Rattus norvegicus: one gene and its partner. The protein of the gene in region 1 interacts with the protein of each later gene in a pairwise test. Links are inferred from orthologs where the notes say so. Each region holds a gene or a part of one and is shown on either strand. Other genes may lie near its edges.

Region 1 (6,719 bases):
CCTCTATCTCCATGGCTTGGGTGTGGTGTGGTGGGTGTGCCTTTTTTCTAAGCATTGGTCTACATAGTGAATTCTAGGATAGTCAAGGTTACAAGAGAAACCCCCACCTCAAAAATAAATTAATTAAAAATAAAGAGAGCAAGTTTGAGGCCAGCAGACTGAGAGCCAGTTAAGCATCCCCAGAGTCGGCCACTGTGAAAGCAGCTGAGTTACCCATGGCAGGAGGTTAAAGGGACATGGTGAGCAGTGAGGGGATTCTAAACATCTGAAAGGTGAACTTTCAGAGCAATGCTCTGCTGACTGTGCAGGAGAGAGCTGGAGGGTGAAGTGTTGTTTTTAACAAAATCTTTTTTTTTTTTTCTTTTTTTCGGAGCTGGGGACTGAACCCAGGGCCTTGCGGTTGCTAGGCAAGCGCTCTACCACTGAGCCAAATCCCCAACCCTGTTTTTAACAAAATCTTAAACATTCCATTTTACCAGTAAAGACTTGGGAGCTAGATGCTGGGGTAAAGGTCTGCTGGCTCAGGGAGGCAGAGAAAGTACCCAGCTGACCTCCTTCTCAGCTGATGTTCCAGAAGAAAAGGCAGTTCTTCTCCACACCACCTCAAAGACCTCGAACCGAAATCTCCCTGCCTTCCACTTCCTATGTGTCTTTCTATTCATCCTCCTGAGTTCCCCTACTCTCTGTGATTTCTTTCCCTGTGTTTACTCCCTGTCAACTGATTGCTTGGTCCACCTCTTGACCCATGGATGACTTTATTTAAACCTGTCTACGATAATCAGAAAGCTCTTGGATTAAAGATGTGTGCTAGAGCTGAGCCATACCACAACTAGAAACAGGTTTTTTCCAGTAAATAACACAGTGTGATCAAATATCCTGCATCAGAGAAGATATTCCCAAGAAAAGAAGCCCAAGAAGTGAGAAGAGTCTGGATAGAAATGTCCACTCCCGGGGCTGGGGATTTAGCTCAGTGGTAGAGTGCTTACCTAGGAAGCGCAAGGCCCTGGGTTCAGTCCCCAGCTCCTAAAAAAAAGAACTACAAAAAAAAAAAAAAAGAAAGAAAAGAAATGTTCACTCCCACCCCAGCAGGGGAGAGGACAAGGCTGGGCCTGCATGAAAGGTGCCTAATAGCCAGAAGAGGCAACAACAGCTCACCCCGGGCTTTCTGAAAGAATAGCCAGGGGACAGAGAAGAGCTCTTTTCAGATCGGTGACTGGGATGGACCAGGGAAGGAGGAGATTTAGGTACTGATTCGGATCACACAGGGGCTGTACTGGCAGGAGTGTTGCACTCCCATGGGCATGGAGTCCAAGCAAAGGGAGAACAGGGCTCTTACAAGAGACCTGGGTAAGGACAACCAGCAGTATCCCACTGTCAGACTGAAGCCAGGAGCTAGAAAAATGAAAAACTGGAGAGAATGCAGACAACCTCTTATACCAAGATTCTCGAGTGGCAAGCAGTGACAGATGGCATCTAGTCAGGCAGAGAGAACTAAGCCCTGTAAGGCCAGAGGACATGGCTGCAACTTTGTGGCCCTGGCTGGATGCTCTTCTCCATTTGGGATAATGGAATCACTGTGGGATGTCTGTAACTTTAATGTCTGTGAGTTACCTGGTGTAGGGCTGGGGAAACAGCTTAGTGGTTAAAGATGCTTCCCATGAAGCCTATGGACCTGTGTTTGAGCCCCATGACCCACAAGGAGGAGGAAAGAGCTGATCCCACACTGTGACACCTGACACCCTGGAATTCAGACACGAGCACCTTTTTAAGAATGGGGTCTATAGAGTACCCTCACAACAAAAGCAGAAAGATCCAGGACTAGGCAACATTTTAGCCTTTAACTCACTCTCGGTGCTCCTCCAAACGACTGCCTGGTCCCCCTAGAACAGACACTAGGGCAGGTCTAGAATATTCTGATAAGTCTGAATAAGTAGACCCTTAATGCAATGAGAACAAAACAGACTTGCCAGCAACGGACAATATTGCCCTGGAAGTCACGATGGTGATGGGGGCAGAAGACCCTCTTCAGTCTTCTATCAAGCCAAGTAATCACATAACCTTTCTTTAGGGGGTCACCTGAGCTGTCCTAGTACTTCCAATTAGAGTCAGCCCATGGGATAGTGAGTGAACCAATGGATTGTGGTCCCTGTCCTTAGTGTGGAAGGAATCTGCATGTGCCTCTGTAGCTGTCTAAACTCCTTCACAATCTTCTCAGGACAGAATGGAGAGACTGCCATATATGTCATGCCAGGTGAGACTGAAGGACCAGGTAAGGTGTTGGCATTCCTTGCAGTGGGGGAGAGGGTCAGTGGCAAAGAAGCCCAAGCATTTCTCAATTGGAGAAAGGTCCTGAAGAAAAAAGGAATGTATATGAGGGCTGAGGCAAGATCACATGTTGCAGGCCAGCCTGGGTTACACAGAGACCTAAGAATACAGCTAGACCCAATCTCAAAAGGGCCGGGGGAGGGTTACTTTGCAGAAATTTCTTCTGAATTTTTCACTTAACAAGAACCTTAGTGTACACCCCAAATACACACACAACAAAGCAAGAGCTGGTCACCAGATGGAGAACAGACGCAGTGGGAAGAAGTAGACCTCTGTTCTCAAAGATCGAAGGAAAAGTCACACTTTCTGTCCTCCCTCTCCAGGACAAGAACTCAGCCACAGACACAAGAACCATTTCAGAAGCCACACAGGTAACTAAATCGTCACCTCAAACTGTACCCTCTCTACAGGAACCCTGAACTTCCAGGCAACAGACCTTCCAGAACACCAGCTGCCCTGGATGGCTTCTGACTTAACAGGTATGCACACACCTTCTTTCTGGTCTCAGCCAAGGCACAGCCTAAAAACCTGGCAATTGGTGACACAGGCTTGTCATCCCAGGTACTCAGAAGGCTGAGACAAATTCAAAGGCTGGTTGCAAGTTCAAGGCCAGCCTGGAACACTTGGGAAGTCCCGTCACAGAATAAAAATTAAGAGGAAAAAGTAAGAATCGGGCTGAGGAGGCAGCAGAGTCGGTAACTGCTTAGCATGCATGAAGCCCTAGGCTCAATCCTATGAACTGCGGGGGAAGAAGGGGGCCCAAAAAACAGCTCAATCTGCAATGCACTTTAGGGCTAGACAGACAAGCAAGGTTCCATCTCTAGGATCCATACAGAGGAAGAAGAGAACTAAGTTAACCTCCCTCCACCGGTAGCCTGGTATACACCGGCAAACACACACACAATTAATTAATTAATTAATTTGCTAATTAATTAATTAGCCCGTCCATTTATTTTTAAAAGAGCTGTGGACATAGTTCAGTGGTAGAGTGCATAAGGTCCTAGGTCAATCAACAGTACTGCCAAAATCAGGCAGACAGACAGACTGACAGACAGGCAGGCAGGCAGACAGACACACACACACAGCCAATCAATTAACTTTTAAAAGGGATGGGGACATAGTTTAGTGATGGAGTGCATAAGGTCCGAGGTTCAATCAACAGTACTGCCAAAAACAGGCACACACATACACACAGAGAGACAGAAAGAGACACAGAGAGAGACGAGAGACAGAGAGACAGAGAGACAGAGACAGAGAGGGCTTGACATACGACTCAGCGCTTACGAGGGCTTGCCACCAAGACTGTCAATCTGAGTTCGATCCCTGGGATCTACAAGGTAACTGACTCCAACCCCGGGAGCCCTTCAGCCCACAGCAGACCACTCGGTCCCCTCCGCCCCGGTTCCGGTCCAGGCACGCCTACCCGCGCCCTGCAACGGGACACGGGGGTCCACAGCGGCCCCGGGAGCACGACACGGAAGACCCCGCAAAGGGAAGTCGCGCGACAGGATCGACTCGGACTGTGTGCATGCCGGAAGGCAGCGGACAGCTCCTTCCCATGGCGTCGGTACGGTCGGGCAGCGCGCGCAGCGCCTGGGGAACTCGCAGACCCGACCACTCGGCCACTTACCCGAGTTGAGGAGCCGAGTGCTGCAGCAGCGGCTCAGATCTCCCTCCTCTCCGCCGGTGCCTATGTATCGCGAGACTTCCGCGAGGGTCTCGCGAGATCTGAGAAAACGGCCCGTAAAGAATCAAATATGCGCGCCACAGGCGTGTCCTGAGAACAACTGCTGTCCTGCCAAGGGGCTGGAAACCACACTGAGCCAGGGTGCCTGTCCCTCAGGGCGCTCTTCGAACGCCACCCAGTGCGCCGTAATGTGTGGAGTAGCACTGCTTGGGAGGGAACGTTTGTTTTGCTTTTGTGTCAGTGTTTCTCTGTGTAGCCTCTAACTCACAAAGATCTTCCTAGTGCTGGATGGAATTAAAAGGCTTGCACCACAACTGCTGGGCATGGAAAGTAAACATAGCTTTGGAAAGTTGATTTTTCTCTGAATCTTGCCACTGTGTATGTATACACAGGTTGTTTTGTTTGGGGCGGTGTTTTGATTGGTTAGCTTGTTTCATTTTCTTTCCTTTGTAAATGAGAATTCCTGGGAAGAAATTGTGACTGTAAAGGCGGATTGGCTGGTTGCCTTCGGTAACGTTGCCGGTCCAGAGCCTGTTGTAATTTGTCTTGGGCTCTATCTTTAACCCCCGTCATACCCATTGCTTACCCGCCTCTGTGTCAGCTCTAACGTGTTGTGACTTATGGATAAAAACCTCTTGGAATACATTAAAACCCAGTTTCTACCAACCAAAAGCCCACGAACTGCATGAGAAGCATATAGCTGCTATTTCTCTGCTTTGCTATAACTGCCTACTTAAATCTTCCACTAGTCTATTTGTTTTCATGTTTTATTATTTTATGGGTGTTTTGTGTGCATACATGATGCCCATAGAGACCAGATGAGGACAACAGATCCTCTGAAATGGGAGTTAGATGTCTATGCGCCAAGATGTATGCGCTGAGCATTGAATCTGGGGTCTCTCGAAGAGCAACCAATGATCTTAACCCGAGCCATTTCTCCGCCCCACCACCAAGAAAGATTTTGTTTGCTTTGGTTTTTGTTGTTGTTTGTTTCGTTTTGTTTTGATTTGTCTGGTTTGGGTTTTTAAAGGCAGGGTTTCTCTGTGTGCCTCAAGGCTGCCTCCACCTGCCTTTGCACCCCACCCCCAACTGCTGAGAATAAAGTAATGCGCCGCCTGTCCCCCACCAATGTATTTTTAAAGTGCCTTGATTCATGACTTTCTTTATTCTGTTACTATAAAAATTTCCTCACTGCTTCCAGACTGGAACATGGAATTTGGGGTAACTTAATTTTAAGTCTGTGTTTCTGGGACATTTGGCTCAAGAATAAACGACCTGTCCATCTCGGTGGTAGTGGCACATGTGTCTAATCCCAGCACTCTGGAGGCAGAGGCAGGAGTTTCTCTGTGAGTTCAAGGCCAGCCTGGACTACAAAGGAAGTTCCAGGACACCCAGAGCTACACAGAGAAACTCTACCTGGAAAAACCAAAAAGTAAAAACATTGGGCTGGAGAGATGGCTAAACCGTGAAGAGCATTGACTGCTCTCCCAGAGGTCCTGAGTTCAATTTCCCACAACTACATGGTGGCTCACAACTATGTGTAATCTGTCTGTAATGTGTCTGGTGTGTCTGAAGACAGCAACGGTTTCCTCATTATATATAAAATAATAAATCTTTCAAAAATAAATAAACACAAAAGATTCTTGCATCCGTTTTGAGATGAATGTTGTATTTTGGGGTCAAGCTGAGAAACAGAATCTTACCCTGTACCCCAGGTTGGCCTGGACCTCACAGCAACCCATCAGCCTTCTGAGTGTCCTGAAACAGCCCTGCTCCTCAACTGGCCCTTTGGTTATCAGACTATTGAAGCAAAGGGCCGAGGGCTGGAGAGATGGCTCCGCGGTTAAGAGCACTGACTGCTCTTCCAGAGGTCCCGAGTTCAATTCCCAGCAACCACACGGTGGCTCCCAGCCATCTGTAATGGGATCTGATGCCTTCTCCGGGTGTACATACAGATAGAGCACTGATATTACCTAAAGGTAATAAATAAATCTTTAGAAAAAGAGAAAGAGCCACAAGACACTAGATATCCTCCCAAGGAAAAGGCTAACACCTGGAAGAACTCTCCAGAAGAATGATTTCTTGTTTGTCAGCTGAGGGTGAGCAAAGATCAGTGCTGAGACACTGATGGGACTGAACACACAGCCTCCTCCTGCCTTTCTCTTCAATCTTCCAATCTTCTTCATCAACCTTAGACCCCTGACACTGGGACTTGGGGACACACTAGATCGAGCTTCGTGTCCCTCTTCCCACTGAGGCCACACTGGGCAAATTCCCTTTTTTTTTTTTTTTAAGATTTATTTATATGTAAATACACTGTACCTGTCTTCAGACTCACCCGAAGAAGGCATCAGATCCCATTACAGATGGTTGTGAGCCACCATGTGGTTGTTGGGAATTGAACTCAGGGCCTCTGGAAGAGCAGTCAGTGTTCTTTTTTTTTTTTTTTTTTCCCAGAGCTGGGGACCGAACCCAGGGCCTTGCGGTTGCTAGGCAAGCGCTCTACCACTGAGCTAAATCCCCAACCCCTGCAGTCAGTGTTCTTAACCACTGAGCCATCTCTCCAGCCCCCAATTCCCTTTTTCTGATTTGCTATCAACTTGGCTCTTTGAAATTATTGAGGGGGAGTGGCCAAGCCTGGCTTGTTGGGACCCAGCCTGTGCCACTTACACACTTAACCCCTCCCCCTCACTCCTCTCCCTCCCAT
Region 2 (6,541 bases), on another chromosome or scaffold:
TTTAGTTCAACCCCGTTTAGCTTTTAGTTACAAAAACAAATCTTTTAGGCTTTCTCTCTGATCACTATCTATAAAATTGGCTGTTTGGACTGGCTGTAAGGGAAGCAAGTTTATTTTCAATAACAGGCAATTTACCATGCTACTAAGTCCCAGGCAGGTCCAGCCCTTGCTAATTCTTTATACTCCTAGGATGTAAGAAACCCATCTTCGGCAACCCAAATACTTTAAACTCCACTCACATACAAATCTAAGGGTTATTCTTCACCCCGGAAAGCCATTTATCACAAGGTTCAACCTGAGTTCTTTCATTCACTGAGCAGCACCTCACTGCTCCCCACCAATGCGACTGGTGCCACTCACACAGCTTTTCAGAACTAGAAACTTCTAAAATATAAGAGAAGCTTGGTGACAAAGTGACAAAGCTTTGTGATGGGGACTGCTAGGTCTCCCCAAGGGTGCCTGATTCTACACTGCCATTCCTCTCACCTGGTCCAGACAGGAGCCTCCCTCCTGCCCTGGCTACAGGCTGCCTGTTCTTGGGCTCTTATCACATCAGCTACAGCAATGTATCAACATCAGAGAGTACAGTGACAGGATGCTTGCCCTGCATATACAAGGCCCCGGGTTTGCTCCCCAGAACCTCCAAAACCAAACCTCATCTGCCTTGCTCAGAAACTTCCGGGGTCTTCCCGTTCCCTTCAAGTAACCAAGGCCTCAGCCTGTACTTCTGCTCCACATGCCCAGTAGGTCCCATCTTGTAGACTTTATCTTGACAGTTCCTGAGCTAGCAACCTCTTGTGGAGGTTGGACCTTCCCCCCTTTTCTCCCTCCATTGAGAATTCAGAATTCTCAATGTCACCTTCCCAGGCTACCCTGCTTTAATAGCATCATCCTGCATTTTCTCCCTCCCTGCCTTATTTTTCTCAGAGTCTTTACTACGTATACAGGTTTACTTATGTCTGCCTCTCCTCCCTACAGTGTAATCTCAGCAATGCCCCTGCTGATTCTGGGCTCCCGGTCAACAGCATGGACTCAGGACTGTTGCCTAGAACGTGCTGAGTGTTCTTCTTGGGAAGGTGTGTGAACCAATCTACCAATCTGCACAGTAATTCGAGATAGGATCATCATCGTAATTAACATCGTGTCTGGTGAAGAAATTGCCACGCTACTATCAGTAATAAGAAACTGAATTTGGACCCAAGACACCAGCCCTTTATAATCACCATAATGTATTGTACCACGCTTAGCTTATAGCAAATAATTCAATGACTTCCCTATGCTGACTCTTAGAAATTCTCAGATAATCAAAGTATGGCTTTAAAATATCAAGTTTCTTATAATTGCCTAATATTTAAGAATAATTAATAGGTGTGATTTCTGAGCTCAGACTCGTAAACAAGAGCAAAATGGGAACCACAATTATGCCTCTTCAGCCTCTAATTCTGAGAACCACTTCCTCAAAGGCTCCGACTGTGGATGACAGGCATGCTCAGGTAATTCTCCCTGCACCACAGAGATTACCGTGATTAGCACCGGTCCACAAAGGGACACAAAAGCCGCAGAGATGCCAGGTCCCACAAAGGGCCCCTCTGGGACTGTAGCAGCTCATTTGAGCTCCCTGCTTATTAGTGTGGTGATTCAGTGCACTGGGTAAGCCGAGGATGTCACCTAATAGAGGGTATGTTGATACAGCCTTATCTGAGAAGTTATATAATTACGCGAGTGTCAGGATACCATAAAGGAGTCTGAGCTTTAGAGTGAAAGAGGAGGGTATTCCCTGGGAAGTCTTACACAAAGAATGGCGGGAGATTCCATTACCCCAAACTAAGCAAGTGAAGTAAAATAGCTAAGGATAGAGGCCGTCCAGTTTAAGTTGCGGCTTGGCCAGGCACCTGCTGAAGATTGCTTCCGGGGACCCCGGATACCAGCCTGTGCTTCCCTGGGAACAGAGGATTGGTCGGTGCTCAGCAAACTGCCCCCCTTGAGTCACGGCTGCTTCTTTATTTAGGGTCAAATGTATTCTTCTGCAAGCCTTGGACCCTCCGTTCTCCTTCTCCTCCAGACAGTGAAACTAACTTTCCTCCCACTGGGTTGGAATTCTCTGAAAGAAGCCATACCGGGTCTTCCTCTTCTCCTTCCTCCACCTTCTCAGGACCTCGCTCCTGATCCACCCCAACAATCCCAGGATGCGGAAGGAGTGAGTGAGTAGGCCATCGGACGGGAGTGTCCCCAGCACCTGTCACCTGGCCCACCTGGCCCTCCCTTCACCCCCTCCCCCAGCCCCACCCACCTTCCCCGCCGACAGGCCACCGCCCTCCCCGGCCTCCAGCCATGGTCCAATGGCCGTAGGGCAGGGCACGCTGAGCAAGCCGCGGTGCCCGGGCCTCGTCCCCGCCCTGTTCCCGGTCCTCGGTTCCCGAGTCGAGCCCTGCCGCCTTTAAATGCCACCCCAGGCCGACGCACTGCGGCCCTCGCCACCGTCATCCCCTCGCCGCCGCGACCTCCGCGCCGCACACCTCCCCTCCCCCTCCCGGGCCTGCGACCGCGCCAGCCTGGGGCGTGCGCGCGCGCCGGTGTGTGCGCGCGCCCGGCTCGGACCCGCGCCCGCCGCCGCGTCCCCGGCGCTCGCTGCAGGAACATGGCGGGGTCGGTGGCCGACAGCGACGCCGTGGTGGTGAGTGCGGCGGCCGCCCGCGAGGCGGGTAGCTCGGAGGGCGGGGGAGAGGTCTACCGACCCGCGGTGCCGCGGGAAGCGCGGTACCTGTCAGCCGCCGCGGGGTGGGAGTTCGGGGCCCCAGGCGCCGGGCAGGAGGGCGCCGGCCAGGTGCGCGCCGGGCGCGTGTGCGTGCACGTGGGTTACCGTGGGGCCGCGGCCCCGGCGTCCGGGATTTCCCCCTTTGGAAACGGTCCCGCGCCGGGGGCTCCCGGGAGAAACGGAGCGCTGTCGCTGCACCGCAGCCACGTCCCCGAGGACAGGCCCGGGGGCAGAGACTCCGGGAGCGTTTGTGCTTGGAGAGGGGGCCTGCCGCCCACCTACACGGGCTTTGCTTCCCCGGTGGGCCGCGACCTTGAATTTGATCCGATCTCAAGAGCCTGGGGATCATCAGAGGCTTAGACCGGGTGGAAAGGCCGGGTTTTGTTTCGCGGTTATTTAATGAGCTATAAAGAGGCATCACTGCCTATGTGTCTGTGGAGGGCTGCTGGATCCCGACCGATTTGTGTGGATTCCACATCCTTCTATTCACTCCCTAATAAACAAGGGTCTGTGGAAAGCCAATCTGTGTGCTTCTATTTTTAGAAACTTGATGATGGGCACTTGAACAACTCCCTGGGTTCTCCGGTTCAAGCCGACGTGTACTTCCCACGACTGGTAAATCAGTGTGCTCCGTGTCTCTGCCTTTATCCTTCTCCCTCCTGGTGCATTTCCTTGCCTTCTGGTGGGTCAGGTTCTCAGGGCCGAGGGCTTGGCTTCTCTCACAGCCTGTAAACTTCCTGTCTCTCCCCTCCTCCTTTGCAGATAGTTCCATTTTGTGGGCACATTAAAGGTGGCATGAGACCAGGCAAGAAGGTATTAGTGATGGGCATCGTAGATCTCAACCCCGAAAGGTAAGGGCCGAGCCCTTCTGTTGCTGAACTGCGGCTGCCTCCTCCCGTTCCTCTACTTGCAGACAGTGTCACTAGTTAGGAGTGCCAAGAAAGTACCATGTTCCCATGAAAAGAATGTGTATGAATCCCAGCCATCATCTCTCCAGATAGCTATTTATATCAGGGATGATAAAAATAGGCCGACAGTTAATCTTTGACCCTTGAGAAGGCCAAAAGACTTTTCTTTTTTATGGCTTTGAAACACTATAGTTGTAACCAAACCTGTTAGAATAAATAAGAACCAAACTTACAAAATGTTCCCCTTGTCAGTTCCCTTGGCTGTTTTGGAGAACTCTGAAATGGATTAAGGCCCCGGGTGGCCTGGGGCGTTTGAAATCTTCAGTTGCAATTATTTTCAGTAACACTGAAGTTTTCACCAGAGCCTGCTTTAGGAAGCAAAATCTATTGGTTTGAGTGTAATCCTTCTACTCTGTGTTTAAACTCTGTGTAAACAGTAGCAGCCCATTAAAAGCCGATGAACCCACTGGAGGAGGAACTGGGTCAAGTTAAAATGTTACATCTAATTCCCAGCTAAGTGACACTGTTTCCTTTCTAGTTTTGCCATCAGCTTGACCTGTGGTGACTCTGAAGATCCTCCTGCCGATGTGGCGATTGAACTCAAAGCTGTGTTCACGGACCGGCAGCTCCTCAGAAACTCTTGTATATCAGGAGAAAGAGGCGAAGAGCAGTCAGCAATCCCTTACTTTCCGTTCATCCCGGACCAGCCGTTCAGGGTAGGTACCTGGAGTGCCCCATGCAGTGTTGGCAGGGCCCCTGCTCACGATATATCTACTGTGTGCCAAGAGCTCTTTAAGAATTTCTTCATGTCCAAGAAACTTGTTGCCTGGGACTTGTTTCCCGGCCGTGAGAACAGAATAGAGAGAGAGAGAGAGAGAGAGAGAGAGAGAGAGAGAGAGAGAGAGAGAGAGAGATCTGCTTGCTGATCGACATTAATGCTTGCCATAGTAGCTCTTGACTCTCTTCAGCCCCTATGTTTAGTTAATGGGTGCATATATGCATACCTAATTGATAAGTACTTAGCTGTACACAACCAATGCAGAGGCATTAATTATTGATTTGCTAACTTTTGGGGTGGTACTGGGGTTTGAACCCAAGGCCTTGTGCACATTAGGTAAAGTTCTGCAGCTTAGCTACACTCCCAGTCCTCTTTTTTTATTTCTGTTTTGAAACAGGATCTTACTAAATTCCCAGACTGGCCTTGAACTTGTAATCCTCCTGGCTCAGTTTGCATAGTAGCTTAGAATACAGGTCTGTGTCATCGGGTCAAGCTGGGAGTATTAATCTAGTAATAATTTTCTGTGTAATTCCCAATATAGTTTTAGGCACATAAATAACCTACCCCTAAGTATCTGATTGATTATTAACTAGTACTAAGATCCAGAATTTTCATGTTTCTTAGCCTTAAGTAGCTCAAAACCTTACTAGGTATGGGATTAAAACAATTTAGTGGTTATCATTTCATTTTTTTCTCATTCCCTTTGCTAATGAGCCCATATTTGTGTATTTATTTTCCTGTGAGGGTTAATTAAGCTTGTCTGTTTCATGGTCACAAGCTGTGTGGCTGACAGATTTCCTCCCTTGGGCTTGGGTAAGATCACTTTGCTCCCAGTCCCTACGAGGCAGGAAATAACCCAAACTTGCAGTCTCATCAAGTAACAGTAGCATTACCTTCCTCTGTGGGACAAATAGGAATGATATAAAAACAGGACTCGCTTACATGCCAGGCCTGGTGCTGCGGCTGGGGCCTGCGGGAATCTTACCATACATCACAGTAACAGCCCCTCGGTTAAAACTTTGCTACAAATGGACCAGAGTAAACAAAACTGCTCTAAATCTTTGTACTTCATGTGGACCTTCTCAAGGCCTGCAACTGTTTCTCTTTCCTTAGAGTCTAGAACAAAACAGAACTCCACAAACTTTTTTACATCAGTACAAGAAATGAGGTTGTTCCCCTTAGGACCATAATCTAGGAAGTTACCCCTTATCTTAGCTCCTCCTTTAGAATGGAGGCTTGTGGGCTCCTCTTGCTATGCCAGGTTCTTAAATGGTTAGTCAGTCTGTCTGCCTGCCTTCCCCCACCCCCTCTCTCTTTCTCTCTCTCTCTCTCTCCAGCATTTGCAGGCCTCAACAGAGTTATCTCAGATGGTAAATTCTTATGCCTAATTCATGAATTGTGAGCTTCTGACTAGAAGGAATTCATTGCTTCCCAACAACAAAAATGGGAATGAAATAAACCAGGTGGTGGCGCAGGCCTTTAATCCCAGCATTCAGGAGGCAGAGGCAGGTGGATCTCTGTGAGTTCCGGTCTACAGAGTAAGTTTGAGGACTGCCAGGGCTACACAGAGCAAACCCTGCCTCAAGAAAAAAAAAAAAAAGCATGCAAAAATGGAGTGGAATAGAACTTCTCGGTGATCTAATTTAAGCAGTAATATAAATTAAATGTGACTAATATAACATATGGAATCTCTGCGTGAAAACGGCTAATGCTTTTCTAAAAGCATCATAGCACAGCCGATTCTTAAAGTCTGTGATGACCAGGAGGCGGTGGCTCCTGCCTTTGGTCCCAGTACTTGGGAGGCAGAGGCAGGCAGATCTCTGTGAATTTGAGGCCAGCCTGGTCTACAGACTGAGTTCCAGGATAGCCAGAGTTACATGAAGAAGCCCTGTCTCATACAAAGAAACAAACAAAACAGAAACCCAAACAAAGAAACAAACAAAAACCCAACAGACCGCTGTGGTGAATTATGGAAAAGGAGAGGGAAGAGGTTTACCATGTGGAGTCAGTGTTTGTTTGCCTTAACAAAGCCTTGTTAATTACACATTCTTGGTCCAAGGGTAATTACTGTGTAATCTCCCATAGTGTTTACCATGACTG

Evidence for each region. The genes of interacting proteins can lie anywhere in the genome.
Region 2: the proteins of Mad1l1 (region 1) and Lgalsl interact in binary tests that used the Homo sapiens proteins (3 or more experiments, as listed by UniProt). The two-hybrid records come from large-scale screens. The link is inferred for Rattus norvegicus from reciprocal best matches to the Homo sapiens genes MAD1L1 and LGALSL.

What each region holds. Positions count from the first base shown.
Region 1 is NC_086030.1:19,432,062-19,438,780, reverse strand, and holds the start of Mad1l1 (mitotic spindle assembly checkpoint protein MAD1), read right to left. Parts: upstream 4,000-6,719; 5' UTR 3,956-3,999; intron 3,905-3,955; exon of another isoform or gene 3,886-3,904; coding exon of another isoform or gene 3,749-3,885; intron 1-3,748. UniProt on the Homo sapiens protein: Component of the spindle-assembly checkpoint that prevents the onset of anaphase until all chromosomes are properly aligned at the metaphase plate.
Region 2 is NC_086032.1:99,201,762-99,208,302, reverse strand, and holds the start of Lgalsl (galectin-related protein), read left to right. Parts: upstream 1-2,456; 5' UTR 2,457-2,638; coding exon 2,639-2,674; intron 2,675-2,761; coding exon of another isoform or gene 2,762-3,173; exon of another isoform or gene 3,174-3,298; coding exon 3,299-3,370; exon of another isoform or gene 3,371-3,517; coding exon 3,518-3,606; exon of another isoform or gene 3,607-4,060; intron 4,061-4,201; coding exon 4,202-4,379; intron 4,380-6,541. Other genes in the region: probable splicing factor, arginine/serine-rich 4, read right to left, coding at 2,762-3,173. UniProt on the Homo sapiens protein: Does not bind lactose, and may not bind carbohydrates.